Sus scrofa: one gene and its partners. The protein of the gene in region 3 purifies or fractionates together with the protein of the main gene of each other region. This does not show direct contact. Links are inferred from orthologs where the notes say so. Each region holds a gene or a part of one and is shown on either strand. Other genes may lie near its edges.

Region 1 (9,762 bases), on a different chromosome or scaffold from region 3:
CAGAGGTCATGGGAAAGAGAAGGTTTGGAGCATTAATTTCTAATCTCATTTTAACTTGACTGTTTCCAAAGGAGGATCTTCTTTGGAAAGTAGATAAAAGCATGGACTAAATGCCAGACAGATCACAAAATGGAAGAAAGCTAAATTTATTGCATCCACGTAAATGATAGAAAAGATGACCTTCAATTTTCTAAAAGAGATATTGTTGTAGATAACTTGTAATTCTGTAATTAAATTCATAGTTAATTGCTATGGATCACTGTCATTTATAGCAAAATAGGTCTGATAGGGAATGCTGCTTCTTTTTTTTTTTTTTTTTTTTTTTTGCTTTTTAGGGCCACACCCTCGGCATATGGAAGTTCCCAGGCTAGGGGTCCAATCGGAGCTATAGCTGCTGGCCTACATCACAGCCACAGCAATGCCAGATCCGAGTTGTGTCTGTGACCTACACCACAGCTCTGAGCAACACCGGATCGCTGACCCACTGAGTGAGGCCAGGGTTCAGACTTGTATCCTTGTGGAATACTAGTCAGATTCGTTTCCACTGTGCCATGTCGGGAACTCCCTCTAAGATTTTTATATTGTAAAATTAGTTTTATTTCTTTTGTTAAACTCATTTGATCCTCTACCTTACTCCATTGTTTTATTATCCTTGCAAATTTATTTTTGTTTGAGATATCTTTGTCTGTATTCCTACAGTGTATTCATTTGAGTATTAGTAACCCCAGGTTGAGCAAAAACACATCAGAGGAGCGCTCTGTGTGGGGATAGGACATTAATATACACTAATAGGTGCTAGTAGCAGCCTGATAGCTTATAATTCATTTAACAGGTATCCTATTGATAAATACTTGAATTATTTCCATTCTAAAATTTTAAATACAACAAACATTTATATGCATATCAGATAGTCTTATTTTGTTAGTTTTTTAAATTATTAAATCATAACATATATACAAAAAGTACACAGACCATTTTTGTAGCTCACTGATAAATGGAACAGTACATAAAGGTATGATCAGCATGCCAGAGGTCTCTTCAGTGATCACAGTCCCCACCCTGGGGTAACTGTTGTCCTAATTTCTGACACCTTGATGCATTTAGTCTGTTGGAAGTGTGTGTAATTGGAATCATATCCTTTGTGCTCTTTTTATCTGCTTTTTTCACCATAGTATCTGTGAGATTTCATCCATTTACATGTGGCGGTTTTATTTTTTTATTGCTGTGTAATTTTCTGTTGGGTGATTGTACCATAATTTATCCTTTTTATTGATGAACCTTTGGGTCGTAACCTAATTTTTGGATATTACAAATAGTGCTGTGAACATCCTTAAACGTGTGTGTTGGTGCACATCGCTGTCCATATCTACTAGAGGTAGTGCTGGTGGGTGTAGGGCCTGCATGTGTGCAGCTTTACCAAGCCAGCAGTTTTCCAGGGTGGTTGAAACCATATCACATTTCCATCAGCAGTGTCTGTTTTATTTTGTTTTAAGTAACGTCAAAAAAGTGAAGATGGAGTGAAAGAGTAAATTCATTTTAAGTTTTAGAATATAGTACTAAATTTGACCTGAGGAATACTAATTTATACTTCACGGGACACTTGGTTTTATCTAGCTCTTTCATCTTTATCAATTAATGTTGGAAATTACCTCATTTTTAAACTACTTTAGTGAGTTGGACTATTTATAGCTTAATTCCAGTTTTTTCTTTTTGTCTTTTTGCCATTTCTTGGGCCACTCCCTCGGCACATGGACTTTCCCAGGCTAGGGGTTGAATCGGAGCTGTAGCTGCTGGTCTACGCCAGAGCTGCAGCAACTCGGGATCCGAGCCATGTCTGCAACCTACACCACAGCTCACAGCAACGCCGGATCCTTAACCCACGGAGCAAGGCCAGGGACCAAACCCGAAACCTCATGGTTCCTAGTCGGATTTGTTAACCACTGTGCCACGATGGGAACTCCCCAGTTTTCTTAACTTGGATATTTTGGCCTTTTCTTCATAGTTTGTCCTAGCTATATTTTTTCTAATATATAAAATTTAAGTGTCTCTGTTTGCACGCACATGCACAATTGTACCTACTGATTTTTCCCTCTGTGGTTTCTGGCTTGGTGTCATTCTTAAGTCTTTTTATCCTCAAGATTTTTTGATTTGTTTGGTTTAAGAATTTAATTATTAGTATTTAATTTTGTTTATTATAGCTAGATTTGATTTCATTATCTTTCACTAATGGAAGGGAGCTGTTTTGGTTGTTTAAAACAATTTAAACATGTACTTTAATTAATTACATTAGCATTAGCTTTGGAATATTTTGTAGAAAGATGTCAGAGGGTGACTGGTCAGGAAGAATTTAGTACACGAAAAAACATGCATGCATGTGTCATTTGACCATGAGAAATTAAATCAATTTTCCAGTGTGGATACTCTTTGAATCCTTTCATTGTGCATATTATTGAAGTAGTTAGTTTTCATTTAGAAAAGAATGAGATCAAATAGACTAAATTATCTTATTTAATATCTTTAGTAGGTACTGTTCATTACTCTTGAGCAAGGACTTTGCCAAAAATACACCTGGCCTCTGTCTCTTGGCCTACAGGACAACAGAGGATTAGAGAGCCAAATACTTAATTTCAAGCCCTTAAAAATACAACTTTTCTCTAAGAGATCACTTAAAAATTTCTTTGAGTTCCCGTCGTGGCTCAGTGGTTAAGAAATCCGACCAGGAACCATGAAGTTGTGGGTTTGACCCCTGGCCTTGCTCAGTGGGTTAAGGATCCAGTGTTGCTGTGAGCTGTGGTGTAGGTCGCAGACGATGCTCAGATCCTGCGTTGCTGTGGCTGTGGTGTAGGCCGGCAGCTACAGCTTTGATTTAGACCCCTAGCCTGGGAACCTCCATATGCTGCAGGAGTGGCCTTAGAAAAGGCAAAAAGATGAAAAATAAATAATAAAAAATTCTTTGGCTTTTTTTTCTTTTGTATAATAGTATACATAGTTAAAATGTAGTTTGCACTGCTGACTGAGAAAGATGAGGCCAGCCTATTGTATCTGATTGTTGGGTTTTTTTAACCATTTCAGTGGGATTTGAGAGCTCCCCAAAAATCTTACCACCTAAAATTTTTATCGGTAGAGTCATTATTGGGTTAGAACACAAAGCAGAGACATGAAACAGGTATTATTAGACCAGTAGCCCTGTTTTCTGCTGATGTGGATTAGTTTGATTTCTGTAATTGGTCTTAGTACCTTAAAGAGGTGGGTCTCAAGACTTGTATAAGTTACTGAGAAGGAGAACACAGAAGGTTGTATCACTAGTTATTCTGATTATTCTTCAAGCCAGGGAGAAACTTATGTGGATTTGGTAAATCTGTAATTTTAGGAGTATGGCATTTCCAGTTTAGAGGCATGAGTGTTTTGCTGAGTGCTTGAATTTGACTAAAGGGAATACTGGTTTTTTTGTTAAAGGATCATTAGGGATAGGTTGGGGAGGATAGAGTACAGAGGGAAGAAAAACTAAAATTAAGTGCCTGCTTTTTGTTTATTTATATGTACAATGTGGTCTTAACACATTTTACATATTTAACTCATTTAATCTTCATAGCTGTAAAGTGGTGTTTTCCTCATTTGCAAAGGAGAACAAAGGCTCAGAGAGTGAGTGAGTTTATATTCTCTTGTCTAAGAGTTCCCTTTGTGACTCAGTGGTTAACGAACCTGACTAGGATCCATGAGGATGCGGGTTCGATCCCTCGCCTTGCTCTGTGTTGCTGTGAGCTGTGGTGTAGGCCAGCGGTGGCGGCTACAGCTCAAGTTGGACCCCTAGCCTGGTAACCTCTGTAAGCTGTGGGTGCGGCCCCAAAACAGCAAAAAACAAAACAAAACAAAATAAAAAAACAAAACCCAAAATTCTCTTGTCTAGGCTCAAATCCAGTAAATGGCAGTTCTGGGATTTGAACACCAGTCTTTGAATCTAAAGCTCATTCATATTCCTTTCACAGACGTCTATATTGCCTTTTAAATTACCAGAATTATTGTTCACATTTTATATTTTATTAGTTTCATATAAAATGTTGGTAACACTTTAAATGGCATATCTTGGGGTTGCCATCTTTAGTTCTTCCAGGTAGTGCAAAGCCTGTGTGATTTCCTTTACCTTCCACCTTAGCATTGAGAGTAAGCATGAGGTTACAATCCTGGGAGGACTCAATGAATTTGTAGTGAAGTTTTATGGACCACAGGGAAGTAAGTATATGCGTTGGTATGTGTTTTTCTATTACAGTCTTTTACTCCTTAGTGAAAATATCAAAGCAGATGGTAATGGTGATAGGTGTAGTTTTTGAAAAGTAAATTTAATTGAACTCTTGAACCTGCAAGGAAATCTTGCTCTTATTGTAATTACTTTATGTACTTTTATCTCTGGGTGACAGTATTAAACATGAATTGTGAATTTGGGGTTTTGAAAGTTATAGATGGTTTGGGGCAAAATTTTCTTTCTTTGGGGCATGGGAGTAGGGTAGATGGAAATATTAGGCTGTTACTTACCAGGTAATTGAATAGTGTTTTAATACTTTAAAGAATCAGGTAAATTTGGGAGAGAAAATGAACCTTTTTTAACTCTAGATTTTTAAAAGATAAATGTCATAATTGCACATAGAGTACTACTAGTTATGAGATCTCTGACTCTTGCAAGGTTCTTAAAAGAGATTAGGATTTAGTGTTTAACTTAGATTTATTTTCTAATTTGGTGACACAGTTCTAATGTTTAACGTTTTTACTTTCATTTCAGCACCGTATGAAGGTGGAGTTTGGAAAGTTAGAGTGGATCTTCCTGATAAATACCCTTTCAAATCTCCATCTATAGGTATGTAACTACTCAGTTTCTCTCATTTAGAGAGTTTTGAAATAGAAAAAAAAAAATTCTGCAATTTATGATAATTCCAGAAGTGTTTAGTTAGCCTAATTTTTTTCCTTTTTGGCTTTGGTTAATTAGTAACTTTTGGGGGGACTTACAAAGTGTGATAGTAGATGTTTAAATATATCCTTTGCGTGATTGTAATGACTATAACTAGATTTTTCTGTGTTTCAGGGCCAGATGAAACAAATAATTTTTAGACTCACTGTTCATTAGGCTATTAGCAGTAAAATAATAAACATCTTAAGTCTCACTTTAAATGCCAGGTTGTTGGAATTAATGTTATATGTGTCTATTCTAATTCTGCCATTTAAAAATCCTCTCTATATCCTACATTGCTTTTGTTCATTCCGACTCTGGGTAACCCTTTTCCATTCTCTCCACTGCTAATCTTTTTAACCCTCTAAACAGCTAAAGAAAGGAGAGTAGAAACTTCAGTGGAGTTGTATAAAGGGTGGTTTTTTCCCTTACCTTCATCTTCCTTCTGCCCTAATTGGTGATATTAACCTGCAACCCCTGTTAAGGCATTTAGTGACAGTTCTTTTTTTTTAATTTTAGGATCAGATGCTATAGATGTGTACTTGATTGAGGGTTGATACCTTTAACTTTTTTTTAAATTTTATTGGAATACAGTTGACTTACAATGTTGTGTTAGTTTCAGGTATACAACAAAGTGAATATATATCTCCATTCTTTTTTCCCATATAGATTATTGCAAAATATTGAGTAGATTTCCCTTTGCTACATAGCAGGTCCTTGCCAGTTACCTATTCTACACATAGTAGTGTGCCTTTAAATATTTTGAGATTGTGGAATGGTAGTAACTTAGCTAACTTAAGACAGCTTTTAAAAATTTCATTCTGGAGTTCTGGTTGTGGCGCAGCAGAAGGAATCTGACTAGGAACCATGAGGTTTTGGGTTTGATGCCTGGCCTTGCTCAGTGGGTTAAGGATCCGGCATTGCTGTGAGCTGTGGTGTAGGTTGCAGTCGAGGCTCGGATCTAGTGTGGCTGTGACGTAGGCCGGCGGCTACAGCTCCAATTAGACCCCTAGCCTGGGAACCTCCATATGGATGGGTGCAGCAGCCCTAAAAAAGCAAAATAAATAAATAAAATAAATGTTTCATTCTGTAGATGATTTAAAAATATTATGAAATATTGACCAATTTTAAGAAGAAAATGGAATATATTAGAATGTTTTCTGTCACACTGAACCTCATGTTCAGAATTGTCAGAGTTCAAGTATCGTGCGCCTACTGTAGCCTTGACATCAGAATTAATGCCAGACATCTTGGAATTAGACTTCCCCCTTCTTCCCCCAGAAAAGGGTTTTTAAAAAGAGGTAAACCAAACACATTCTGAGCTTTATGTTTTGTTTCTAGGCCCCCACATTTCTGTCTAGGATCAATAATGTGGAAGCATTAGAACAGTCACAGACTAATTTCCAATCAAATGCAGCAGCCTACCTCCTAACATTTAGCTACTTTATGTATTTTAGAGTTTTATACTATAAAAATACTACAGAGTATCTATAATTCCTTCTTAGGCTGGGAACTCGTAGTGCTCATTTTAAGAATAAACTGGTGTGGAGTTCCCGTCGTGGCTTAGTGGTTAACAAATCTGACTGGGAACCATAAGGTTGCGGGTTTGATCCCTGGCATTGCTCAGTGGGTTAAGGATCCGGCGTTGCCGTGAGCTGTGGTGTAGCTTGCAGACGTGGCTCAGATCCCGTGTTGCTGTGGCTCTGGCGTAGACCTGAGGCTACAGCTCCGATTAGACCCCTAGCCTGGGAACTTCCATATGCCTCAGGAGCGGCCCTAGAAAAGCCAAAAAAAAAAAAAAAAGAATAAACTGGTGATTTCCTCTTAAGGTCCCTGGTCCCTTAGATGAGTTTTCTAAACTCAGTAATTGAGAAGATGCTTTAATGGATAATTGAATTGGAAATATCCCCATTGCTACAAGGGCCTCCTGAGTTTTAGAGTTCTCAGATGGTGATAGAGAAAGGGTGCTGTGAGGTGCTGAGTCTTTGAGACAGTCCCCGAGTGTATCTGACATTCACCTTTGGTGTACAGGTGGGGCAGTCCATTCCATTGTGGTAGGTTTCACTTGGTTTGGGAGGGCTTTTGTGTCACATTTGGTTCCTTCTCCCCCATTTATCTTTTAAGATGTTTCTTCCTCTACAGGCATTTTCAACTTGATGTAGAGTGGTAAACCTTTACAAATAGAATGTCCAAACCATATAAATACCTTCAAATAATATCATAAATACCTGTTTACTTAAAGATTAAAAATTGGCTTGCTAAATCTAGTTTTGTTACCCTTGATTCCTAATCAGAAAGGAAACAATATAGCTTGTTGAAACTAACAGTAAACCGTAGAAATGCAATTACATATTCTTTAGAAATGTAGTTATTTCTCAAATCTTGTCTTAACATACATTTTCAGATAATTGTTTCATCATAACTTTCAAAGTAAAAATATCTAAACTTCAGGCACCGTTTTTAGTAACACTGACACTGCAGAAACCTATTTACTTTCTTAAATTAATGATGTAATGTGAAACTGGTTAGGGCAAATGACTAGGCTAATTTAACTTCTTCATAATTTTTCCTTTGCCTTTCTGTGAGCTTTTAGAACTTGGTAATACCTACAAATGTGTACTATCTTCTCTTAGGGAAGTAGATCTAGTTGAAATATTTGTACAGGCTGTCCTTGTTTCCTTCAAAGGAGATTGCATAAGAGAGTTTTAATCAGTTCTGTGGGGTGACCCATTTTCAGGTCGTCAACAATGTAATTACTGTTGGAATGTGCTTTAAACATTTTGAGAGAGGTAGTGGCTCACTTCGAATGGCAAGGATTCCTTTTTGAATTGTGTAGATAGTTGTAGAAGAATAAGAAGATAAACCCAATCTCTCTGTTCTTTGTAAACCCTGCCTCTGTAGAATCTAGGCAGGTGTACCCTTCTTCCTTGAGCCAGACTTTGCGCTCTTAAACACTAAGATGTGCAAATTTAGATTTAAACATCTTAATGTTTAGATCTTGGAGTTTTAAAATATGTATGTATATATACTTTTTTGTTTAATATTAATATTTATATATTTTAAAATTGTATAATGCCCCATATACATAATGGGAATGTAAAAAAGTCCAGGTGAGCAGAAGCAAAGTAAAATGAAAATGTCTTACACTTCTGTCCCTCAGTGGATATCATTATTTACCTAAAGTTCATAAAAATGTAAAACTTTTTTTCTGCATATTTGAGCATATATTCAATGTAATTTGACATGTTTAACTTTGGGATATGCCCCAAATATAGTTCTAGAGAGTTTTCAGTAGTACATGATTGCATAAGCTATAACTAAAAATGTTCTTCTAAAAACAATTTAACATCTTTAAGTTTTTTGGGGTCCCCCCCACAATGGTAAAACAGACTCCTGGGAAAGTTATGAGCTTCCTCTTACAATGCCATCATTATTCCAGACATCTTAAGTGCATCTTTTGGAATTTTACATGATTTGAATATTATGAGTGTTTGCAAATCTGGATGCTTTGAAGCTGAATATAAATTTTTGAGATGGCTAAAGGTCATTTAATTTCTAGAGAATAAGATGAGTTGAAAAACCAAGTAACATCAGAGTATAAAATGATACATGATTATGAACTTAAGTTTAAACATATGATTTTCTTTTAAACTGGCCCTATGGGCTCTTTCCAAGAAAAGTTATAAAACTCCTTTAATCACTTGTAATGTCATTGAAATATTATTTGTATTGTTTTCCAGAGAGGCTGCTTTGAAATAAATCGTATTTGAACATGTAGGGATTTTTTTGTTTGTTTTTTGTTTGTTTGTTTGTTTGCCTTTTTAGGGCTCCACCCATGGCAGTTCCCAGGCTAGGGGTCTCCTTGGAGCTATAGCTGCTGGCCTACACCACAGCCAAAGCAACACCAGATCCGAGCCGTGTCTGCGACCTACACTACAGCTCACGGTAATGCCAGATCCTTAACCTACTGAACAAGGCCAGGGATTGAACTTGTGTTCTCATAGATGCTAATCAAATTCATTTCTGCTGAACCACAACGGGAACGCCGAACCTCTAGGTTTTGATTTATTCCAAAGTTCCGACTTTTGCCTTTTTCATTCAGAAACATTTCTAGAATGCTAGCAGTGCTGCTAGGTGTGTCACCTATAGTAGTTAGGAGAGTGTGATCAGTAGACAGGTTATCAGAAAAGAGTGATTCTGGCCCTGGTTCTCCTTGACTATCTGAATGATACTTATCTGAAATGTTTCCTCATCTAAAAACTGAGATAATGAGATTAAATAGGACTCTACATATTTGATATTGACCAATGTATTAAATACTCAGAATAGATGATATATGGCACTCTACTTAGGAAGGCTATATAAGGAAGGCTTTCACTAGTTAGGAGAAAAAAATCAACATCTATAAAATACTTCATTTGCTTTAGTGACAGCATTTCATTGCTTTTTAGATGTATGAGTCAGCATCTCAGTTGAGGAAGAGAGTATAGGGAGGAGATAGGCTTTTACAAGAATTGTGTTTCACGTGAGAATAGAGTCTTGACAAAGCTTCTGAAAAGTGAAGGTGCACATAAGGACCTTAGGAGCATTCCTTTCCAAGTTTCGCTGTGGCGCAGTGGGTTAAGAATCTTTACTGCCGTGTCCTGCTGCTGAGGCATTGGTTCAATCCCCAGCCTGGTGCAGTGGGTCAGAGGGTCCAGTGTTGTCTCAGCTGTGGCCGGGATTCAATCTCTGGTCCAGGAACTTCCAGATGTTGTAGGTGCGGCCATAAAATTTGAAAACAAATAATTTTCCCAACCTGCCACCGGTTCTAAATTAAAAGA
Region 2 (9,762 bases), on a different chromosome or scaffold from region 3:
ATGAAAAAAATCTATTGTAAAACCATATGTTATATACACATTATAGAACTGGGTAAAGTATTGTTGGAATACCTAAAAGATAGCTGAGAGAGTGTTTCTCGTTTGGGGCACCTTGCACACGCTTAAGCAAACAAAAACACATACACCCCGGCACATGCCACATGAAACCATATCAGAAACATTGATAATATTCGTTTATCAGAAATAGACATGAGTATTTTTTAACAATTGAGAAAATGCTGGTCTAATCAACTGTATCCCCCTTTATGGAAGAGAAGTAAATTTCTTCAGTTGAAAGGGTTGTTTGTTTTTTTTTTTTTCCCTTCCATAAAAAGGGGGGTGGGGAGGAGAAAATGAAAGGAAGTGAGGAGGGATAACGCAGAAGCATCTTATTTACTAATACTCATGGACTATAAGTAAGACTGGGGAGGGCAACATGGAGCTTGAAGAGAATTAGGCAGCCTTTGCCAGCTCCTTTGTCTTACCAGCTAATTTGGTTTTTGTTTGTTTTTTTGGCTTCTTCTCCTTTTAGGCTGTATCAGCTCTCCAAAGCTGGGAAGCTCTGTGTTCCAGCCATGAACGTCAACGATTCTGTTACCAAACAGAAGTTTGATAACTTGTACTGCTGCCGAGAATCCATTTTGGATGGGTAGGTTGCAACATATAGTTATTCAAATTTGTAGGGAGTAAATTAGGTTTGGGTCGTAATGTTGGTCTGATCTCAGTCCAGTTTTGTCCCCTGGTCTTCCTTTGGCTTTAGAAGTTTGAGGGGTTCCGTCTCATACTGAGCCCAGCCAACTTCCAGCTGGAGTTCTTCTGGAGCCTTGTCCCACGCTCTTACTTTTCAGAGGGACTGTGTTTGAGCCCGTGGTGTTTGAGTTGAGCTCTTGTCTGTTTCCGCAGCCTGAAGAGGACCACAGATGTGATGTTTGGTGGGAAACAAGTGGTGGTGTGTGGCTACGGCGAGGTAAGTAGCTGGGCCTGGGTGTCTGCCTCTCCCCAGACTTGGTGCAAATGTCGAGTGAAGGAGACTCGTGCTGTCAGTGTAGAGTCCCTGCTGCAGAGTTTAAAAACGCTCATAGATAAAGTATCTCAAAATAATAGCAAAAGTCCTTTCTTCAGATTTCTGAATAGAGACGTACAGAACGAATTGTCTTCAGATTTTACCACTTTGTCTTATGGAATGGAAAGTTGGCATAATTTCCCTCCAGTTACAATAGTAACCTTTTATGAGACTTAATTTAAGTGAATATGTAGCATTTTGGCCCCACAGATGACTTCAAGTAGAGTGAAGGGTAGCACCTGAAGTGATGGACAGTCAATTATCTTTAAAATAGGTGACAGGGATTTTATTTATTGTCATAAACAATGACCCACAGAAGTCCCTAAGCTGCTAGGCTGTCCTTGAGTTAGTTAGATGCTTCTCAAGTGACAGCAGGTTTTCCTCAAATGAGAAACTAGAGGTTCCAGTTGTTCTTCCTTGGTCTTGTTTCCCTAATGTGATACTTTTATTTCCTTTATCTCTTCTACTTTCCCAAACTCCAGCCCTTGCTACGAAATGTCTGCTAAATCACTTCTGACTAAGGATCACGACATAATTACGATCTGTTTCTCTTTTGCTTGGATTGGAGCATCCAGTCACTTGCTAGATGATGGGTGGTTTCAGGAAGGCTAATTCCTGTCTCCCAGAGAGCCTGCCTGCCCAAATACCCATGCCTTAACGGACCTGACTTCTTTCTTACTCCCTGCAGGTGGGAAAGGGCTGCTGTGCTGCTCTCAAGGCCCTTGGAGCAATTGTCTATATCACAGAAATTGACCCCATCTGTGCTCTGCAGGCCTGGTAAGAACAGAGCAGAAATACCATTAGATTCACTCCAGGTACTTTATGTTTCTGAGAGTTTGTGATTGATTGTATGAACTATTCCTTGCAGAAATCTCTCAGCGGAGAAGCCTAGGATTGCACTGTTCCTTCCACGTAATCGTAGGACAGGCACTCCTACAGCTTCTTGGTATTTTCTCTTCCTGGATAGAATCTTGGGGAGCCTGAAGAGGCCAGTGTGTAGAGTTTAGCCCAGCTTGTCACTTATTATTCCAGTGAGATAGCCCTGGATCTAACTTTACAAAGGACTTTGCCTGCCTCGTTTTGTGACCAGCTTCTGTCCCACTGCCTTCTTGCCTTTGCTTATAGCGTTCCTTCCTTCTCTTCCAGCATGGATGGTTTCAGAGTGGTAAAGCTAAATGAAGTTATCCGGCAAGTTGATGTCGTAATAACTTGCACGGGTAAGTAGTACTTTGGTGTACATGGAGGAGTGTTAATTCTGGGGTTAAATCTTGAAAGTGGTCTAATCGACTGTCCTACAAAGTAGGTAAGACCTGTGTTCTGGGTCCCAGGCTGAGAACTACACTAAGCTATCAGAAGTTGAACATATTTGCCAGAACAAAGTGCCTTTTGCCTCCTTGACTTTTTATCGTGCTTGATCTTAAAACCAAATGCCTGAACCTAAGAGCTCACACGTCTTCCCTCACAGTGTGTACGTGCTCTTTTGTGCCAGCAGACCACCTCTCTCCCCTGTTCTAACTAAGAGCCAGTCAGTGCCTTTGACCCCTGGGATCTCTTTCCTCAGTCGCTCTCTTTGACTTTCAGGAAATAAGAATGTGGTGACACGGGAGCATTTGGATCGCATGAAAAACAGTTGTATCGTGTGCAATATGGGCCACTCAAACACGGAAATTGATGTGGTGAGCCTTCTCTCATTGCTTTGTTGCTGGGCCTTTTTTTCTCTTCCTTCTATCATAGCCTCTTCCTTTCTGTGCGATCTTCCTTTCAGACCAGCCTTCGAACTCCGGAGCTGACGTGGGAGCGAGTTCGTTCTCAGGTGGATCATGTCATCTGGCCAGACGGCAAGCGCGTCGTCCTTCTGGCAGAGGTGCACACGCAGAAGGGTTCGGGCAGTGCAGCCAAACAGTGTGGTTAGCACTGTCGGGAGAGGGGCGGCGGGGAAGAATACTCCACCTGTGCGTCCCTGAATTTTGTCTGTGGACAGAGGAATGTTTCTCACATAGTCTGGTTCCCAAAGTAGAATCCCTCAGAAAATCTCTTTGCTATGTAACGTACTACTTCCTGACCACAAGTGATTCTTCAGCTTGTCGAGACTCAGGTGGACTTGTGGAAAGTACGATAAAACCTAGAGTCCTGGTTTGAAAGTCTTAATTCTTCTTCTGCCAACTTAGTCTAGAGGGGCATTAAGCCTTTCCTACATTTGCCTGATTCGCGTGATGTGACAGAGGGATCACATAGCTCATCCCTGGACTCTGTTTCTACTTCTCAGGGTCGTCTGCTCAATCTGAGCTGCTCCACAGTTCCCACCTTTGTTCTGTCCATCACAGCTACGACACAGGTATGTGACCAAATGCCGGCTCAGCCTGCCCTGAGGTGACTGGAGCTGGGCCTAGATTAGAGTTCCAGCGAGAGTGTGCCCTCCTCTGTTCTTAGCAGCCTGTTTTCTTCAGGTCACAGATTGTCAGGAGTTAATGCCTCCTCAAGGATAGAACAATCACCAGGTAGAGTCAGTGTTTGTGTCCCTTCGAGGTGGCTGTTTTAACTGAAAATGAGGTGTTCCAGCTTAGTTGTAGTTAGTCTATCCTTTCATTAGCAACCAATCAACAGCACCAACAAATCCTCTTAGGATGTGTGCTGGCATTTATTACAATCCACGTCCTGAGTGCTGTCGCTGTGGCAGATCACTGATTACCCCAAGACCCTGTTAAATCTAGTTTGATTTTTAAATGGCCCTGAAAAGTGTTTTTGTGGTTTCTGACCCTCTTTCCCCACCGTAGGCTTTGGCACTGATAGAGCTCTATAATGCGCCTGAGGGACGATACAAACAAGACGTGTACTTGCTTCCTAAGAAAATGGGTGAGTGGATACAGGAGAAACATGCATTAATCCTCAGACTGTTACATTGTTTGGTAAAATGAATATCATGAAAAGCAGTGAATTTAGAGTCGGAGTTCTAATCCCTGTTCTAGCACTTTCTGGACCTCAACACAAGTTCTAATCTCCATGAGCCTCAGTTCCTCTCTCAGTAAAGTGAGAACAATACTACGTACATTGCAGAATTATAGTAAGAAGTGCAGCTAATGAGTAAAGGTGGTTTAGCACAGTGGTTTAGGGTAGATGCTCTTTATCTGAGTAGCTTTATAAAGTTTAGTAAACCACTGATTACAGCCTGAGACCAAAATGAGAGAAACAGGAACAAATATAGGTTTTACTGCCCATCTTCTGTGAGATACACAGTCTCCTGTCATTTCCGGGGTCAGCTGTGTTGTGTTTATGTGACATAATGCATAATTTTTAGTTATTTGCCTTTCTGAGTAGTGCCAACCTCCTCAGCCCAAATCCCTGGCTCTTAAAGCTGAAAAACATCTTGCTCTTGTCCCCTCAAGCGGCTTACCTCAGATTGTTTTTTGGTTTGGGGGGAGGGGGGTGGCGGTTATTTGTTAATTTGTATCATAAGGATAAAAACCCAGAAAGCTTATCTACAGAAAAGTAATACAGTTGTGCCAGGTGTCTTAGAAATCCATGATGCTAAGATTTGAGGCCTTTACAGGTCTTAAGTAAATGTTGGTGACAGCTCTTCTGAGCTAACTGATGTCCACTTCGATCCATCATTTGACTCTGATCCAGCAAAGGAAGTTGCTGCAGGAAGGTGAGAAGTAGTACCTGGTATGTTGGCCATTGAGATGAACCCAGAAGCCTTGCCAGAGAAGAATGGGGAGGTATAAGTCACCCCATCTTGTTACCTCAGCAAATGGCTTTCTGAGTGCACTCTGGCTATACTGAGAGAAGTACGTCAAAGGCGGCTTTGAGGGTCTTTTAAATTACACTGTTGTTCTGAATTGTAGCTTCTTTAAAAGTTATCGCAGCCCTTGTCCTCTCTCTCAAAAAGCTTCCAGTGAAAACAGGGGCGGGTTATGCCCTGAGAGCCATATTTGAAATGGAGCCTGCTTCCCTGCTGCTTTGTTCTAGATGAGTACGTGGCCAGCTTGCACCTGCCATCATTTGATGCCCACCTGACCGAGCTGACAGATGACCAAGCAAAGTATCTGGGACTCAACAAAAATGGGCCATTCAAACCCAATTATTACAGGTAACATGGGGGAAAGCAAATGAAAACTCTTTTCTCCAGTGTTAAGCCAAGCAGACTAGCCAGCTTTCTTAAATAGGGTTGTAGCTGGTTTTGCAGAGAAGTCTGTCCCAAACTACGAGGTAGACAGAGAAGTTGTATATCTAGTAATAGACGTAAAGAGGTAAGCATTTTCTAAGATTTTGGAGCTTGAGCCTCACTCCTAGAGATCCTGATAGAGATAGTCTAGAACGGGGCCCAGGTCTATCTTGTAAAACTTCCCCAAATTATTCTGATGTGTTGTCAGGGTTGAAAACCATGACCTGATAACCTTATTTGGGAGCAGGAGATAAAACTAGAGATGCCATTGTTGGCAACTGTGGAAGCACAGGGAGGAGTATTCCCTGGGGAACGACTGCAGGAATCCCAGCCCAGGCAGGGAGGACCCTGGAGGGTGTTCTCTGCTTCTGAGTCTTCTCTTGGAATTCTCAGGTGGAAGCCACAAGCGCTAACCAATCTCTTCTTTACAGATACTAACGGACCAGATTACCAAGGACCAGTCCACCTGAACCACACGACTCTAAAAGAAATATTTTTAAGATAACTTTTATTTTCTCCTTAATCTTTTCCTCTTGATTTTTTTTTTTTCCTGTAATTTCTTTCTTGTTTTTTCATCTCATTGTCCAAGTTCTTGCAGACCACACAGGAACTTGCTTCATGACTCTTTAGATGAAACTGAGATTCAAGGTTTCTCACCCTAGTGACTAAAGAAAGATTTTACTCTCCCAGCCCAGAAAGGTGATTCTTTCTTTACCGTTTCTGGGGACTTTATAGTCTTAATTGGGTACCTTATTAACAGGAAATGCTAAGGTACCTTCTATGTGGAACAATCTGCAATGTCTAAATTGCCTTAAAAGAGCCCATTTCTTAGCTGCTGAAATCAGTGCTCTTTCACTTCTTCAGAGGAGCAGGGATGGTACCTACCAGGCAGGTAGGTGAGTTGTAGGTGGTGCATGTTAATTTCCCCTAGGTGTTCCAAGCCCTGTTTCCGATGGAAAGGTGGTATGTTTGGCTCAGAGATACGTACTAGTGAATGTTGCTTGTTAAGATCCACTAGGCCCACTTGGATTTAGTACAGCTCTTCCTCCACTCCCACCAGACCCTCTCATTTTTCAGGTTTTTAACCAGACTTTACTCTGTTTTGTCCCCTAGCATTTATTTCTTTTGTTTTGTTTTTTGTTTTGGGGTTTTTTTTATATATATATATATAAGTAAGAAAAATGTTTAGTCTTAATACAGAGGAGCTGCTTGAGTGGTTAGTTGTTATCAGTTTATCTTTTGAACCTTTGGAGCTAAAAGTGCAGAGTTGAATCTAGAGAAATGCTGATCTCAAACTCTGATAATCCCTCTGTTTTAGCCCATAGTTTATAGCATCAATGAACTGGGGCCGTAACAGCAAATTTTATCAGCTCTGCCCCATCAGCTTGTGCTGAAAGCAAATTTCTTGAGCCATTACTCAGTATAAGGCACTGAGCTCTCTCTTTAGGATTTATCCTTTAAGAGCAAATTTCTGGTTAGCTGTGCTTCTGCAATTTAAAATATTTAAAGGGAGGTAGATGTGGATGGAAGGAGGATGGGTAGTTGGGCCAGGGTGAGAGAAATTAATTCCGTGTAACTTGTCTGGGACTTCAGGCCCCATACAACATTAGTTTTACAGAAGCGGTACCACTTTTAATTGACAGACGTCACAGAGAGTTTATGAACTGAGTCTTAAGGGCAGTTTGTACATAGAGAAAGTAATCAGTGTCCTGGCTCATGCTCGGAAAGAATCTGCAGAGAGGTTCTCTCAGAGATCAGAAAGGTGTGTTCCCAAGCCATGCACCCTGCTCACCAGCATTTCTGCATGGTCAGACGAGCTTTATGCTCATGAGCTTTAACTGTATAATTACCCAGGATTGTAAACCCTCAACTTGTTCTAGCTTGTGATCCTTCAGAGTTGGATCAGGCGTTAGTTCTAGGTACTAGAAATGTTCATTTCCCTATCGCCATTGATCAGAGACAAATAATTAAAAACCAGAAATATGAAAAGGAAAGCTTTCACCCTGTGACTTCCTAACTGGGGACAGTGATCTTGCCAAAACTTTTTCCCCTTCCCTCTCCCATTTCTCTCCACCCAGCCCCTTCCCACTCCTTGCCAGTGTGACCATGCTTTTCTTCTCTGTAGATGCTAACGGTTCAAGCCCCCTTTCCCAGGGCATTTAACCAGCCAATCACAACAGCACATCCTTTAGGAGAGGTAACCTGGCTGAGAGTGGTATCCATCACGTCAGTTCTGCTGGAGGGAAGGGGCCCAGGTCCTGCTGCCCTTGGCCTGCTCCCTGCTCCCATATCTATTACTGTGTCCGTAGGAATACTAGGTAAGGGCTCCGTCTCTGTCAGCCATGTAATGAAGGACATTGTGGGAAAATGTCTGGCATCAGAGGGAGCGTGTGGAGAGCAACTTGGGAGGAACAAGTTTATTTTGTATTGAATGATTTTTAATGAATGCAATATTAATCCTTGCAGATGAGCAATAATCATTAAAGTCAATTAAAATGATAAGACCTTCCTGGAAGCCTGTGTCATTCTTGGTTGAACAGCAAAACTTTCATTAGAACCTGTTTTCTAAGACAGACAAGTCATGGGACATTCAGCAGTACATAGCAGAGATTTGCTCAGTACCTAGTATGGAGGGGAACAGGCTGGCTGCAGCGTTCTTCAGTATTATCTTAAATTTTGCAGGCCTGCTCTGTGCCGAGCATTGGGCCTCGGCAGTTTCACTCTAACTTCCTTCAAGTTGAAGAGCAAACTTGCTGCCTAAAATTCGGGGCTCCTCACTTACACAGGCCCCTTATAAGACCCTCTGCCTAATTTTTTTCCTTAAAAAAATGCCTCCAAAGTTATGTAAGCTTCAGCCCCTTCCCACACCTGTATCCATCTCTGAAGTTGTCTCCACATTTTCAGATTTTAAAATGTATCTGTTAATATTGTTCAAAAGTAAGACCTTTTCTCTTCTATTAAAATGGTCCAAAACAATGTTGATGTTTTCAGTGCAGACTGGTAAAATGAGTGTTTTGAATTCTGTGAGGTTTTATCCACTAAACTCGTCACTTAAAGGAGCCAGGACTCTTTGGAGAAATGGCTGATTCCATGACTCGGCAGGAAAAACACAAGGTGAGCAAGAAAACAAGGAAGTACTCAAAAAATGATTACGGTCCAAAGGACACAGAAGGTAAATTTAAGAGATTTACACTGGGCAAATCTGGAATAATCTGAGCATCAAAATAATGGCTTATAAATCATTGAATTAAATAGGAATCTCTTGAGTCTATACTGATAATGAATGATGAATGGTTTAATGAAGAATGGGCTATGTAAGTAATTTCAAAGTACCTCTCCATGAGGTTTTTCTTAAGTAATGGGAAAACAAGTCATTTTGAAGTGGAAAAGCCTGGCAGAGCTCACCTTAACCAGGTGATTTCAAAATAAACATCAGTAATGGGAGGGGGAGTTCCCATTGTGGCGCAGCAGACTTTGATCTGACTAGTGTCCATGAGGATGCGGGTTCGATCCCTGGGCTCCCTCAGTGGATCGGGATCTGGCGTCACCATGAGCTGTGTATTCGCAGACACGGCTTGGATCCCGCATTGCTATGGCTTGTGATGTAGCTCCTATTTGATCCCTAGCCTGGGAACTTAAATTTCCCTCAAGTGTGGCCCTAAAAAAAAATAAAAAATAAAATGGGAGAAATCTTACTCTCCCATTACTTGGTAGGCTGTATTGAGAAGAACAAAACATCCCTTCTGCAGTGTTTCTGCCAAAGATGCAAAACCTGAATGTGATTATAAGGCATAAGATAAATCCAAAGACATTTTACAAAATAACCAGCCTAGAGTCTTCAAAAGTACCAAGGTTGCCAGTGTCAAAGAATGGCCAAAGAACTGAAGAAACTAATACAGTAACTAAATGAACGGAACTGAATCATTTTGCTGTCAAGAACATAATTAGAACAGTTGGTGAAGTGGGTCTGAGGACTAGGTGGTGGTAACTTCAGTGTTAATTTTCTGATGTTAATGGCTAAACACAGTTATATAAGATGTGCTTTTTTTAAAAAAAGTTTCTACTGTGGTGCATTGGGTTAAGAATCCAAATGCTGTGGCTTAACGAGATTGGTGGTGTCTCTGGAACACTGGGACATAGTTTCGATCCCCAGCCCCAAACAGTGGGTTAAGGATCTGACGTTGGCACGGCTGTAGCATAGGTCTCCACTGTGGCTCTGATTCAAGCCCTGGCCAAGAAACTTACATATACTGCACATGCAGCCATTAAAGAAGAAAAAAAAAAGTTTGTTTATAGGAAAAAGGTAAAAGTATTAGAGATTGATGGGTCATCAGGTCAACGGACTCATTCTCAGATGGGTCAGGAGATTATTTATAATGTGTTTGCTATGTTTTTGTAAGTTTGATTATTGCAAAGTCTGTGGGGTTTGTTCTGGCCGTGCCCTGGGCAAGTGGCAGTTCTAGGTTGTGACCCAAACCACGGCAGTGACAACACCAGATCCTTAACCCACTGTGCCACAAAAGAACCCCCAATTGCA
Region 3 (10,354 bases):
CGCCACGACGGGAACTCCTATACATATATATGTTAACAATGATGTTGTATTTTCTTTTAGTGTTTTACACATATACATATACATTTTATAGTCTTAATAACATACCTGCAATTTTGTATCCTATTTTTCACTTACATTAATATCATGATTACTTAGTCATTACATTGCCATTTTTATTTGTTGTATTATATGCTGCCAGATGGATCTTTTGTAATTCATTCCGTTGCTCTCCCAGTGTTGGGAATTTCTATTTCTGCTCTAGGGCTATACATAATAAAGACATGATGTCTTTAGAGATCGACTCCTGTCCTCCACACAGCTTCCTGTTTTCCAAGGGAGCAACTGAAGTTCCCATCCCCTGCTTGGGGTGTGTCGGGGAAGGCGAGGCAGGCTGGGAAGTGGTCACCCTACACGTTGGTTTCTTTATATCCTGTCTTCCAGTCCAGTCTCCCAAGTCAGGCCAACAAAATAGTTGCCAACCAAGGGGAAGATTCCTGGAATTGCTGCCACTGTCCTGGAAGTCCCAGCCAGGTATAGAAGCCAGAAAAATCACCATTAATATTTCAGTTGGGTGGACAACCCCTGCTAGCTGGTGGCACACCACAGCCAGCCCAGAGTTAGGGTGGGCAGCAGACCGAGACCCTCTACTCCCAGATGGCAAGCTGTGCTGCATCATGTCAACACCTTCCCCCTGAAAAGCGACTCACATGTCACAATTGAATTCTTGGATGCCTTTTATTGCATCTTGGCTGGGTTTGACTGTGTATGTACTTTAATAACAGCCCTCTGAATTAAGTCCATCTTGAATGGCAAGACACTACAGAAGATGGAATGCCGTTGTCCCACATATCGCTCTGATCTCTTCAGAAAGCAATGGAAAGCATAAAAGCTTCCAAACAGCGCGAAGGAAGTTACGGAATTCCTCTTCTCAAGGAAGAATTCTAATTGGAATTATTCAAATGAAAAAGTATTCTTTGGTGAAAAGGGTATAATAAAATATCGGAGGAGTTCCCATCATGGTGCAACGGAAACGAATCCAACTAGGAACCATGAGGTTTCGGTTCGATCCCTGGCTTCGATCAGTGGGTTAAGGATCTGGCATTGCCGTGAGCGGTGGTGTAGGTCACAGACGTGGCTCGGATCTGGCATTGCTGTGGCTCTGGCGAAGGTCAGCAGCTGTAACTCCAATTCGACCCCTAGCCTGGGAACCTCCATATGCCGCTGGTGCGGCCCTAGAAAAGACAAAAAAAAAAAAAGAACAAAATCAGAGCATCCACACTATTTTAACCTCCATTTCTGATATCGCATACCTTAGTGAACACGGCACTTTCACCATACTCTTCTGGAATAGTAAATAAATTTGCTTATAGTAAAAGTTTTAAAAGAAAGTATAAACAAGCAGAAACATCAGTATCAGGAGCCTTTTAGTCTTCTCAACATTTCCTTCCTTCTTCTTGGTGAACTTGGAGACTGGAGCATTTCTGGCAGCTGGGATGGCCTTGGCACCTGGTTGAAAAGCCCAGCAGGCCAAATGCAAGGAGGCGGGAACAGTTCTCCTTGGTTGACTTGATCACATGCCCATCCAGACCTGGAACTTCCTTCCTCTTCTTTCTGGAGCCATGCCCACCAAGATTGAACGTTGATGGTTGGGGTGCTTCCACCCTTGACTACCTCAGCAGCCCGAATTAGGTGCTGAACCAGAGACCTGTGTACTGTTTCATGATCACACAAGCTCCAAAGGAAAACAGTGCTCAAATCACTGGGTTGTTAAGTCCACATAGTATGTAACCCTCACTTTTAAATATTAGGTCTAATTTGACCTACTGTCTCAGTAAAGTATTTCTAAATGGAAGTTTCCACACACATTTCCTGGGTGTGGAATCTTTACTTGTAACTTTGATGGGAGAGATGAACATTTCATTTATTCACCAAAATTTTGCCACAGGTGCTATGCCTAAGGGAGTAGGTTAGGTGCCTTGGGAAGATAGAGAGTGAAGACTACAGGGACTCTGCCTTCAAGGAATTTGTCTCCCAACAACTCAGGAAATCCTTTCAGCTTCTCTAGATCTCCATTGTCTAATGTAGATAATTTGGGAACTGGGTTAGGTACTTTCTGAGTTCATTTCTGTGACTCTAGAACTCTGACGACCACACACATCCTTGCAGAAGACACAGGAAGTGTGAAAGGTCATTGGCAAAGATCACTTAATGACCTGTTCATGAACGGCATTATATTAAATGCCATTCAAAGCAAGCCGAGCCATCAAAAATTTTGTCCCTTAACATTACTGTATCACAAACTTGACAGTTGCTAAGAGAGCACATCTTAAATACTCTCATCACACGCGCGCACACACACACACACACACACACACACACACACACACACACACACAAATGGTAATTATGAGAGTTCCCGACATGGCCTAGTGGTAAACAAATCCAACTAGGAATCATGAGGTTTCGGGTTCGATTCCTGGCCTCGCTCAGTGGGTTAAGGATCCAGTGCTGCCGTGAGCTGCAGGGTAGGTCGCAGACGCGGCCTGGATCGGGCATTGCTGTGGCTCTGGGGTAGGCCAGCGGCTTCAGCTCTGATTCAACCCCTAGACTGGGAACCTCCATGTGCCGTGGATGTGGCCCTAGAAAAAGAGAAAAAAACAAAAAACAAAACAAACAACCAAATGGTAATTATGCGTGATGTAGGTTTAACTAAACTTAGGGTGGGAATCATTTCACTGTACATTTGTGTATCAAATCATCAAGTTGTTTACCTTAAACTTACCCCATGTTATATGTCAACTCTATCATAATAAAATTGGGGAAAAAAATTTTGTCCTTTTAGAGCTACACGTTTCCTCATTATCTGAAAATACCACATGGATTTTCAGCTCCACACCCAGGCCTAGGTCTGCCCCAAACAGGAATGACACCTGTGCACTCATTGATGCCTGGTCACCCTCCTATGTGAAACCTGACAGAGCCCACAGGTATCCATTTCTCCTTCCTGTAGGTTCGTTCAACATTTTGTCATCACTACATTCAGCTTTTAAGCATTCACAGCAAGCCCATTGCTGTGCATTATTAACATATAGTTAAGTCTAATAGAGCTGTCATAGAACAAATAAAGCACTATGATAGCACTGAGGTGAATGGATTAATTTCAACTAGGAGGACCATGAGAGCATCAGGAAAGAGAGAATACTGGAGCACAATTATTTTCAAGGACAGGACCTGGGAAAGTGTTTTAGGTGGAGTGGTGACGAGAGGCAATAATCAATGATAATTCTAAGCTTTCAAGTCTGGGTCAATGAAAATTTGTTAAACAAATGAACTTCTGGCTGGAGTAACTGAGTGATATGAATGCCATTTCCAATATAATCGAAAAATGAACCGATGTATGAGATGAAGATGTTGATCTTGGCTTTAGACAATTTTTTGAGGTGCCTGTGGGCAATTGATGTAGAGATGCTCAACCAGGCACTTCTCTAAGATCAGGATAGAGGTTGTGGGTTATACACAAGAACTCTGCATCTTACCTTGTATGTGTACAATGCCATGTGATTTACGGAGTGCTTTTCAGAGCCCCTTGTCAACTGTGGATTTTGATTCTAACAAATATCGTATAAAGTAGGTAGGGCAGGATTATGATCACCAGGCCCAGAGTAGTCCCTAAAGTGACATCTGTGTCTGATTTTAGTAACATGACAAACCTGAGACTCAGAGAGTTTCACTGGTTTGCTCATTGGGAGCACTGGGCAACCCTGTCTCTTCTCACTACAAATTTAGGTTCTTTTAAAAAAATTATTAATATTATTATTGTCTTTTAGGGCCTAAACCCACAGCTAGGGGTCGAATTGGAACTGTAGCTGCCGGGCTTACCCCACAGCCACAGCAACATGGGATCCAAGCTGCATCTTTGACCTACACCACAGCTCCCTGCAACGCTGGATCCTTATCCCACTGAGTGAGGCCCCGGGGTCGAACCTGCATCTTCTTGGATACTAATCAGATTGGTTTCTGCTGAGCCACCGAGCCACCATGGAAACTCCAGGTTCTTTTTTTTAAAACAGTAAGTGTGGTTCTGGTTGAGGCCGGGGGAACAGATAACATTTTGGACAACAGTATGAAGCAAGAGAGTAAGAGGACTTTGGGGCAACCCTTATGTTTAAGAACAAAGGAGCAAAGGAAGGTGACCCCGAGATCTGTCACTTCCTACCCCTTGAGACTCAAGCTCCGCTCCGTAAGGCATAAGGGTCTGTCATCCTGTCTTTCCCTGACAGAAGCAAGCAGATTGCTAGGCACACAGCAGGAAACCACTGCATTTGGGGGAGTAACAATGACAGTAGACATATAATCTTGCCGGGTAGCCTGAATAGGGTAAGTGCCTAGACCAGGATGCTGGTTACTGGAGAAGATACAGGGACAGCAGATTTTTAGACATGCTTGGAAAGGCAGCTTCCTGAGGTGAGTCAGGTGTTCCTAGCATTCAGAAGGGCTAAATTTAGGTGTACGTGGATGAAGACAATGGAAAGATTTCCGTGGAAGGTGAGTGGAACGGATAAAAAGAAGAGATGTAGGAAACCTCGGAGGATTTGACGTAGAAGGTGCAATTTGGGGCAGGATTCTCTGGGCCAAACCAAAGGCTCTGGATGAGGCATGCAGGGTCCTGTCCCTGGCGACCGTGAGTTGTGGTGGGAAAGACAGTCCCGGGGGTTGGGTGAGCGTCTCCCTTCTGCATGCGCGTGGGAAGGCCCAAGTTCAGGGTTCAAAAGGCTCGATGGTTAAAAGCACAAAGGGATTAATAAATTCATTGCAGGGCTCCTTTGGGAGGAGGCCAACAATGTGTCCAGGTCCGTTTCCCCGGTGCTAGGGAAGCTCTGGTCTCCACCAGGGTTTCAGATCTCTCTAGGTCTCCCGATTCTTGGCACCGGAGAGCGGCGGTGCCCCGAGCCTCCTTCCTTAGCCTCACCACCGCCTCTGGGGTCTCCTCTCCTCCGACCTCCCCATTGCCTCCACCCCTTCCTCTTTTTCTCCCGGGCAGAAGGGGACGCCCTGCGGGAGTCCTCACGCTCCCTGCGCCGCATGCCCACCCCGCGGCCTCCTCAGCCGGCGGGGAGCGTCCGCCCCGAGCTCGCCGGCGTCCCCCGGGCCGCGGAGCCCGGGCAGGAGCTGGAGCGCGAGGGCGCAGCTTAACGGTCCCGCGGCCGCGCCCCGCGCCCCGCCCGGCGGCGCCGCAGCTGCTGCCCGCCCGCCCCCTGCGTCATGACGCCGGCGCCCAACGCGGAAGCCGCTCGCGGCGCGCCTGGTCCAGCCGCGGGCTGAGCGCGGAGCCGCGGCGGGCGCGGGATCCCGGCCGGGGCGCGAGCCGAGCACAGCCTCCCTCTCCAGCCGGGCCGAGCGGGCACTGCGGGCGGAGCGGGGCGAGCGCGCCAGTGGGCGCAGCGGACACAGAGCGCCGGGGCCGCCGCCGGGGGGGATGCGGCTGCCTCCCCGGGCCGGCGTGTAGAGAGGGCGGGTCCCCGGCCTCGGGAGCGCGGCGGTGGAGGGGACAGAGGCGGCGGCCATGGCGACCCCCGGCAACCTGGGGTCCTCCGTCCTGGCGAGCAAGACCAAGACGAAGAAGAAGCACTTCGTAGCGCAGAAAGTGAAGCTCTTTCGGGCCAGCGATCCGCTGCTCAGCGTCCTGATGTGGGGGGTAAACCACTCGGTAAGGACTCGGGCTGCGGCGCGCAGTCCCTTTCCTCCTCCTCCTCTTCCTCCCCTCTCCCCTCCTCCTCCCGCTGCAGCTGCTGCGGGGCTGGGAGCCCGAGCGGGGCCCCAGCCTTCGGGCTGCTAGCCTTCTGGGGCTGCCCGCTAGCCGAAGCGCCTCGGTGGCCGCAGCCCCGCGCAGCGCGCCAGCCCCTCGGGGGCCGCCCGGGCGCCACTTGGATCCCCTTTGGACCTAGGGCTGGATGTAGGACAAGGGTCCCATCTGCATTTTGAGCTCTGCGGCCGGTACCATTGTCGCCCCCAGTCCGTCCGTCCGCTCGCTGGCGGATCTGTCCCCGGAGCCCAGGAACTGGGAAGTTTGTGCGGGGCACGACTCCGCCTGGGCTATCACCCCAGCGGGGGCTGCTGGGGTCGGAGTCCTGGCGATCGCTTCCTCTGCGGGGGCGGCCCGATCCTCCGTGATTCTGCAGGTGTACCTGTCCGAGGCTAGGGAGCGCCTGGCGGCAACCCCGCACGGGGGACAGGGGTGAGAATACTGGAGATCGGGGAGCTTGGGCAGCGGCTTGGTGCTTAGGTCCTTTTTTTTTTTTTTTTTTTTTTACCTTTAAAGGCGATATTCTTGGACACAAGAAATCTTTTTGGCAAAGAAAAAGCCAGTGTAAATATGGCACTGGGGTTTAGCATCTTCCTCTGCTCCTCTCCCGCATCGCACTGCCGCTCTGCCTGCTGAAGAGCTGCTTGGCGGGGAGTCTTGCTCCCCACACCTCCTCCCCCACCTTGGGGAGCCAGGCCGAAGTCCCCGACTGCGGAAGGCGGCCTGGGGATGACTTCGGGAGCGGGGGTTGGGGGTAGGTCTCGCCGGGAGCGATGGAAGGCGGTCTTGAGTTGATTGCATCCGTTTGGGGGGTTTGTTTCAAAGGTTGGAGAGGACGCTTGGAAAGGTTAGCCTAACACACACAGCCAGAGGTGCTGAAGATGCGCGGCTGCGGGCTCTGCGGACTGCGGTTTGAGGGTCCGAAATAGCCTCCTGCCGACCTTACCGGGAGAAACTCTTGCAGTTTTAATCTCCTTAGGATCAGGAAACCTGATAGGAGCTGTTGGCTGAGCCATGAAAGTTTAAATGAGCCTGTGCATTTTGACCATGACCTTACTCACTGCAGTCAGCGTCTGAGGAAAAGTATAAGCTTGCCTGCCTTACTTTTGATTTGCATGGGTGTCTGTGGGCCCTTTTCAGCATAATAGAAATGACAGAAAACCATGTTTTTTGTTTTTTAAAAGAACATTCTCAGTTTAAGGAAGTTAGTTTAAATGATTCAAAAGCATTGTATGTATTTTTTTTTTCTTCTTTCCCAAGCTGAGTGGGGGGGGGGGAAGGTGAAACTGTAGCAGGATTGATTGTATTTGCAAGGAATGACTGTAGAAAGTCGAAGAATGATTATTTCTTTCAGCCTAATGCCTGATCCATTGAAGTTCATGTTAACTTGCTAATAACTTCTTTAGCAATTAGGAATGTAAGCTTTTGCAACAGAAAATGTTACTGCACCAAAACTCCCCTAAGTTTTATTACAGTAAATAAAATGTTATTTTTCCTATGTAATAAGTGTACAGTTCAGAGTTTTGTTTCTGAATCTGTTCAGCTTTTTTGTTATTACGTTATTTACTTTTTGAAAAATTAATGTTGTTAGTTCTGCATATATGGGTGCTTTTATCTCCTTTGAAGTTCTGGTCAGGGGAGTGTTTGTGTCTGAGGGTTTAATCTAGTAAAGCAGTGGTGATAATATTGCCAACGAGAGAGTGTGCTCTCTGGGAATTAGTTGGAACTCCAGTTTACTTTAGAAAGCCTTGTAATTGCGTGTGTTTTACTGTACCCACTTCTGTTGCTGCTTTCTACTTTTGAATTGCTACATTTGTTTTAGAGTTCCTTGCTAATTGGAAATGCTTTTGAAAGTACTTAAAACTTATAAAAATAATGTGATTTGTAGGTACTGCGTTTTCTTTTGCTTTCAAAAAAGGTAGCAATTCTTAGTTATTCAGAGGACTCATGCTTCCATACTTGCAATATAACCACGTTACTCATTCAACAAATACATATCAGACACATAGTGCCAGCCTCTGTACGCCCCTCATATTTTTGTCGGAATCTCTTTGAGAGCTCTGAGTTGACCTAAGAAAGGTCTGTTTCAGCATCCTTCTTTTTAAAAATGTCTATTTTCTTTATTATTTTTGAGAAAAAAAGGAAGTGTATGTAAAGATGAAATCTAAGCACTTAGATGCCATGCATTTCTGGTTGGTTTCATTTTAGTGACAAAGTCTTAGATGTTTTCATATGACCTTGTGTGCACCAAAGTCTATAGTATGATATGAGAATAAATTTGTCAGCATTATTAAGGAGGAAGCATCGTATTGTGTATGAATGGAGATGGTTGAGAAAGCCTAGCAGAAAAGGAAGAGCTCTTTTTAGCCCGTCTTTCCATGTATTTCTGATGTGTTCAGGACTGATGGGAAAAGATTTGTCGTGAACATAGCCATTTCTTGCTTTTAAAGTTCTTTTCGGTTTGTCTTAGGACATTTAGAAGCAACCGTTTATTTGAAGCACTAAAGGAGATCTGTAGTAGTCATTTGCTACATAGAGTATCATATAGGCTTCTTCTAAGATTGGGAATCTTCTACACACTGCAGTAAAACCCTCGTTGGATCTGGGTTCTAATTCTTTCTCTAATTTTGTTGGCTTTGGGGCCCATTAACTATTTTTGCATCGATATTTGCATCTGTGAAGTAATCGGACTGAAAAATTTCTAATTTTTTTCCTAACTTCCAGATTCATTACTTTTACAGTTGACTAAGTTTCTAGCATTAAGTTAGGCTCCCCAGACTAGGAATAGTGATAGAATATAACAAAAGTTGCATTACTGTTACAACCTTGCAAATGCAGCTGCCCTCAGGGAATTTGCAAGGCCGTGGCTAGTGGCAAGGAAATCTGTGGTAATCTCGGTGATCGCAGGACACGTGTGAACTCAGTTTGTTGGACAGATTGTAGTTGGGCTGCATTGTCGTCTGTTAAGTCCTAGTCTATTTGATTGAAATGTAAAAACTTGCAATTAAGGTGGAAAATTTCAAGTCCATTGTGGTGGTAATTCTCAATGACAAGAATAAGCTTGAGTTTGTGTGGTTAATTTGATATGTTACTGCTTTCTGACTTAAAATACCCATCCGTGAATGGATCACTGCCAATTTTTATTTTAAGTATTTTAAGCAAGGACTATAATTGAATACATAAAGGAAAAGATGACTTAAGAAGGCAGTTTTGTCTTGTTACATTTGGAATTAAACTAAAAATGATCCAGCAGTTAGCTTCTTAGAATTGTATTTTAATAGTGTGTGGAGCATGTAGAATGATAGGAGTCAAGGCTTGTTTTAAATAGATGTTCAAGAAGAGTTTTATGCAGACTGAACCGGGAGCCTTTTAGTAATGTGTATTTAAAAGCCTACTTAAATATCTAAAGGAAGACCTTTGTATAGGAAAAATTTAAAGGACATATAGTTGGTTTAAAACAAATGTAGTATTTATAAGTAACCAATATTAATGTCAGTCTTTTGGTTGGGAGCGGTGGAAACGTGGATGAGCACAGGCCAATTTGTAAATATTAGGAGGCTTTTGGAGGTCAGTGTGGAGGGAAGGTAAGCAACCCGGGGGAGCAGCAGTGCGCTGGGCTTCGGGGATAATTGGAACCAGGTGCTTGGGTGCAGTTGGGCCTCTTCTATTGCTTGCTTGTAACTGTCTGCTCCCCCACCCACCCCACCCCCTGCCCCAGGGCAGGGAGCTAGTGCTTCCTGAATTTCGCATTTTTCACATCCTTCCAAAGGGGCTTTCTGTCTCTGATTCAGTTGTAGAAATCCCATGGAGGGATTCTGACTGGTCCACCTTCCTCACTGGTCCTGGCATCTCCCTGGACCAAGCTGCTATGAAAAGGTGGCTGCTCTTGCCCACTGGGCCTGATGCCTGGGAGCAGAGGTGCCTGTCCTGGTATAAGAGCTGGCTGATTGTCTTGGTGCCCATGTGCCCTGTTTTGTGTGTTTGGCAAATACATGGTTTTCTGACTTGAGCATTCGTAGCTTTTATTATCTTCTCAACAAGGTCTGGGACTTGAAATAATGTTGGAGAAATAGATGATAGGTTTATGTATGGGCACTGGAAAAGATTAAAGAAGGAAACTAGGGTGTAAAAATGCAATGAAGGACTATGAAATATTGACTGAATGGAATATAATGAGGCAATTAAATTAAAATAATAATGAGCTAGATTTTAGATGAAACTCAGTGAATTCAACCCAAGATAACCACTCATTTAAGAACTAGTCTTGGAGTTCCCGTCGTGGTGCAGTGGTTAACGAATCTGACTAGGAACCATGAGGTTGTGGGTTTGATCCCTGGCCTTGCTCAGTGGGTTAAGGATCCAGCATTGCTGTGGCTCTGGCATAGACCAGCGGCTACAGCTCTGATTAGACCCCTAGCCTGGGAACCTCCATATGCCATGGAAGCAGCCCTAGAAAAGGCAAAAAAAGACCAAAAAAAAAAAAAAAAAGAACTAGTCTTACACAACTTTTTTTCTTTACTTTGAAGAATGCCAAGCACATGTGTATATACA

The links. Proteins that work in one complex are often made in the same cells at the same time.
Region 1: the proteins of PIP4K2A (region 3) and UBE2H purify together in Homo sapiens (affinity purification with mass spectrometry; 3 studies listed by BioGRID and IntAct, with this or other methods). This does not show direct contact. The link is inferred for Sus scrofa from reciprocal best matches to the Homo sapiens genes PIP4K2A and UBE2H.
Region 2: the proteins of PIP4K2A (region 3) and AHCYL1 purify together in Homo sapiens (co-immunoprecipitation; 3 studies listed by BioGRID and IntAct, counting the BioPlex papers as one, with this or other methods). This does not show direct contact. The link is inferred for Sus scrofa from reciprocal best matches to the Homo sapiens genes PIP4K2A and AHCYL1.

What each region holds. Positions count from the first base shown.
Region 1 is NC_010460.4:18,884,081-18,893,842, forward strand, and holds part of UBE2H (ubiquitin-conjugating enzyme E2 H), read left to right. Parts: intron 1-4,153; coding exon 4,154-4,230; intron 4,231-4,774; coding exon 4,775-4,849; intron 4,850-9,762. UniProt on the Homo sapiens protein: Accepts ubiquitin from the E1 complex and catalyzes its covalent attachment to other proteins. E2 ubiquitin conjugating enzyme that transfers ubiquitin to MAEA, a core component of the CTLH E3 ubiquitin-protein ligase complex.
Region 2 is NC_010446.5:110,090,954-110,100,715, reverse strand, and holds the end of AHCYL1 (adenosylhomocysteinase 2), read left to right. Parts: intron 1-532; coding exon 533-649; intron 650-903; coding exon 904-967; intron 968-1,751; coding exon 1,752-1,840; intron 1,841-2,209; coding exon 2,210-2,280; intron 2,281-2,644; coding exon 2,645-2,739; intron 2,740-2,828; coding exon 2,829-2,927; intron 2,928-3,329; coding exon 3,330-3,398; intron 3,399-3,837; coding exon 3,838-3,916; intron 3,917-5,029; coding exon 5,030-5,150; coding exon of another isoform or gene 5,151-5,154; intron 5,155-5,656; coding exon 5,657-5,663; 3' UTR 5,664-7,733; downstream 7,734-9,762. UniProt on the Homo sapiens protein: Multifaceted cellular regulator which coordinates several essential cellular functions including regulation of epithelial HCO3(-) and fluid secretion, mRNA processing and DNA replication.
Region 3 is NC_010452.4:52,219,100-52,229,453, forward strand, and holds the start of PIP4K2A (phosphatidylinositol 5-phosphate 4-kinase type-2 alpha), read left to right. Parts: upstream 1-5,433; 5' UTR 5,434-5,563; coding exon 5,564-5,707; intron 5,708-10,354. UniProt on the Homo sapiens protein: Catalyzes the phosphorylation of phosphatidylinositol 5-phosphate (PtdIns5P) on the fourth hydroxyl of the myo-inositol ring, to form phosphatidylinositol 4,5-bisphosphate (PtdIns(4,5)P2). Has both ATP- and GTP-dependent kinase activities.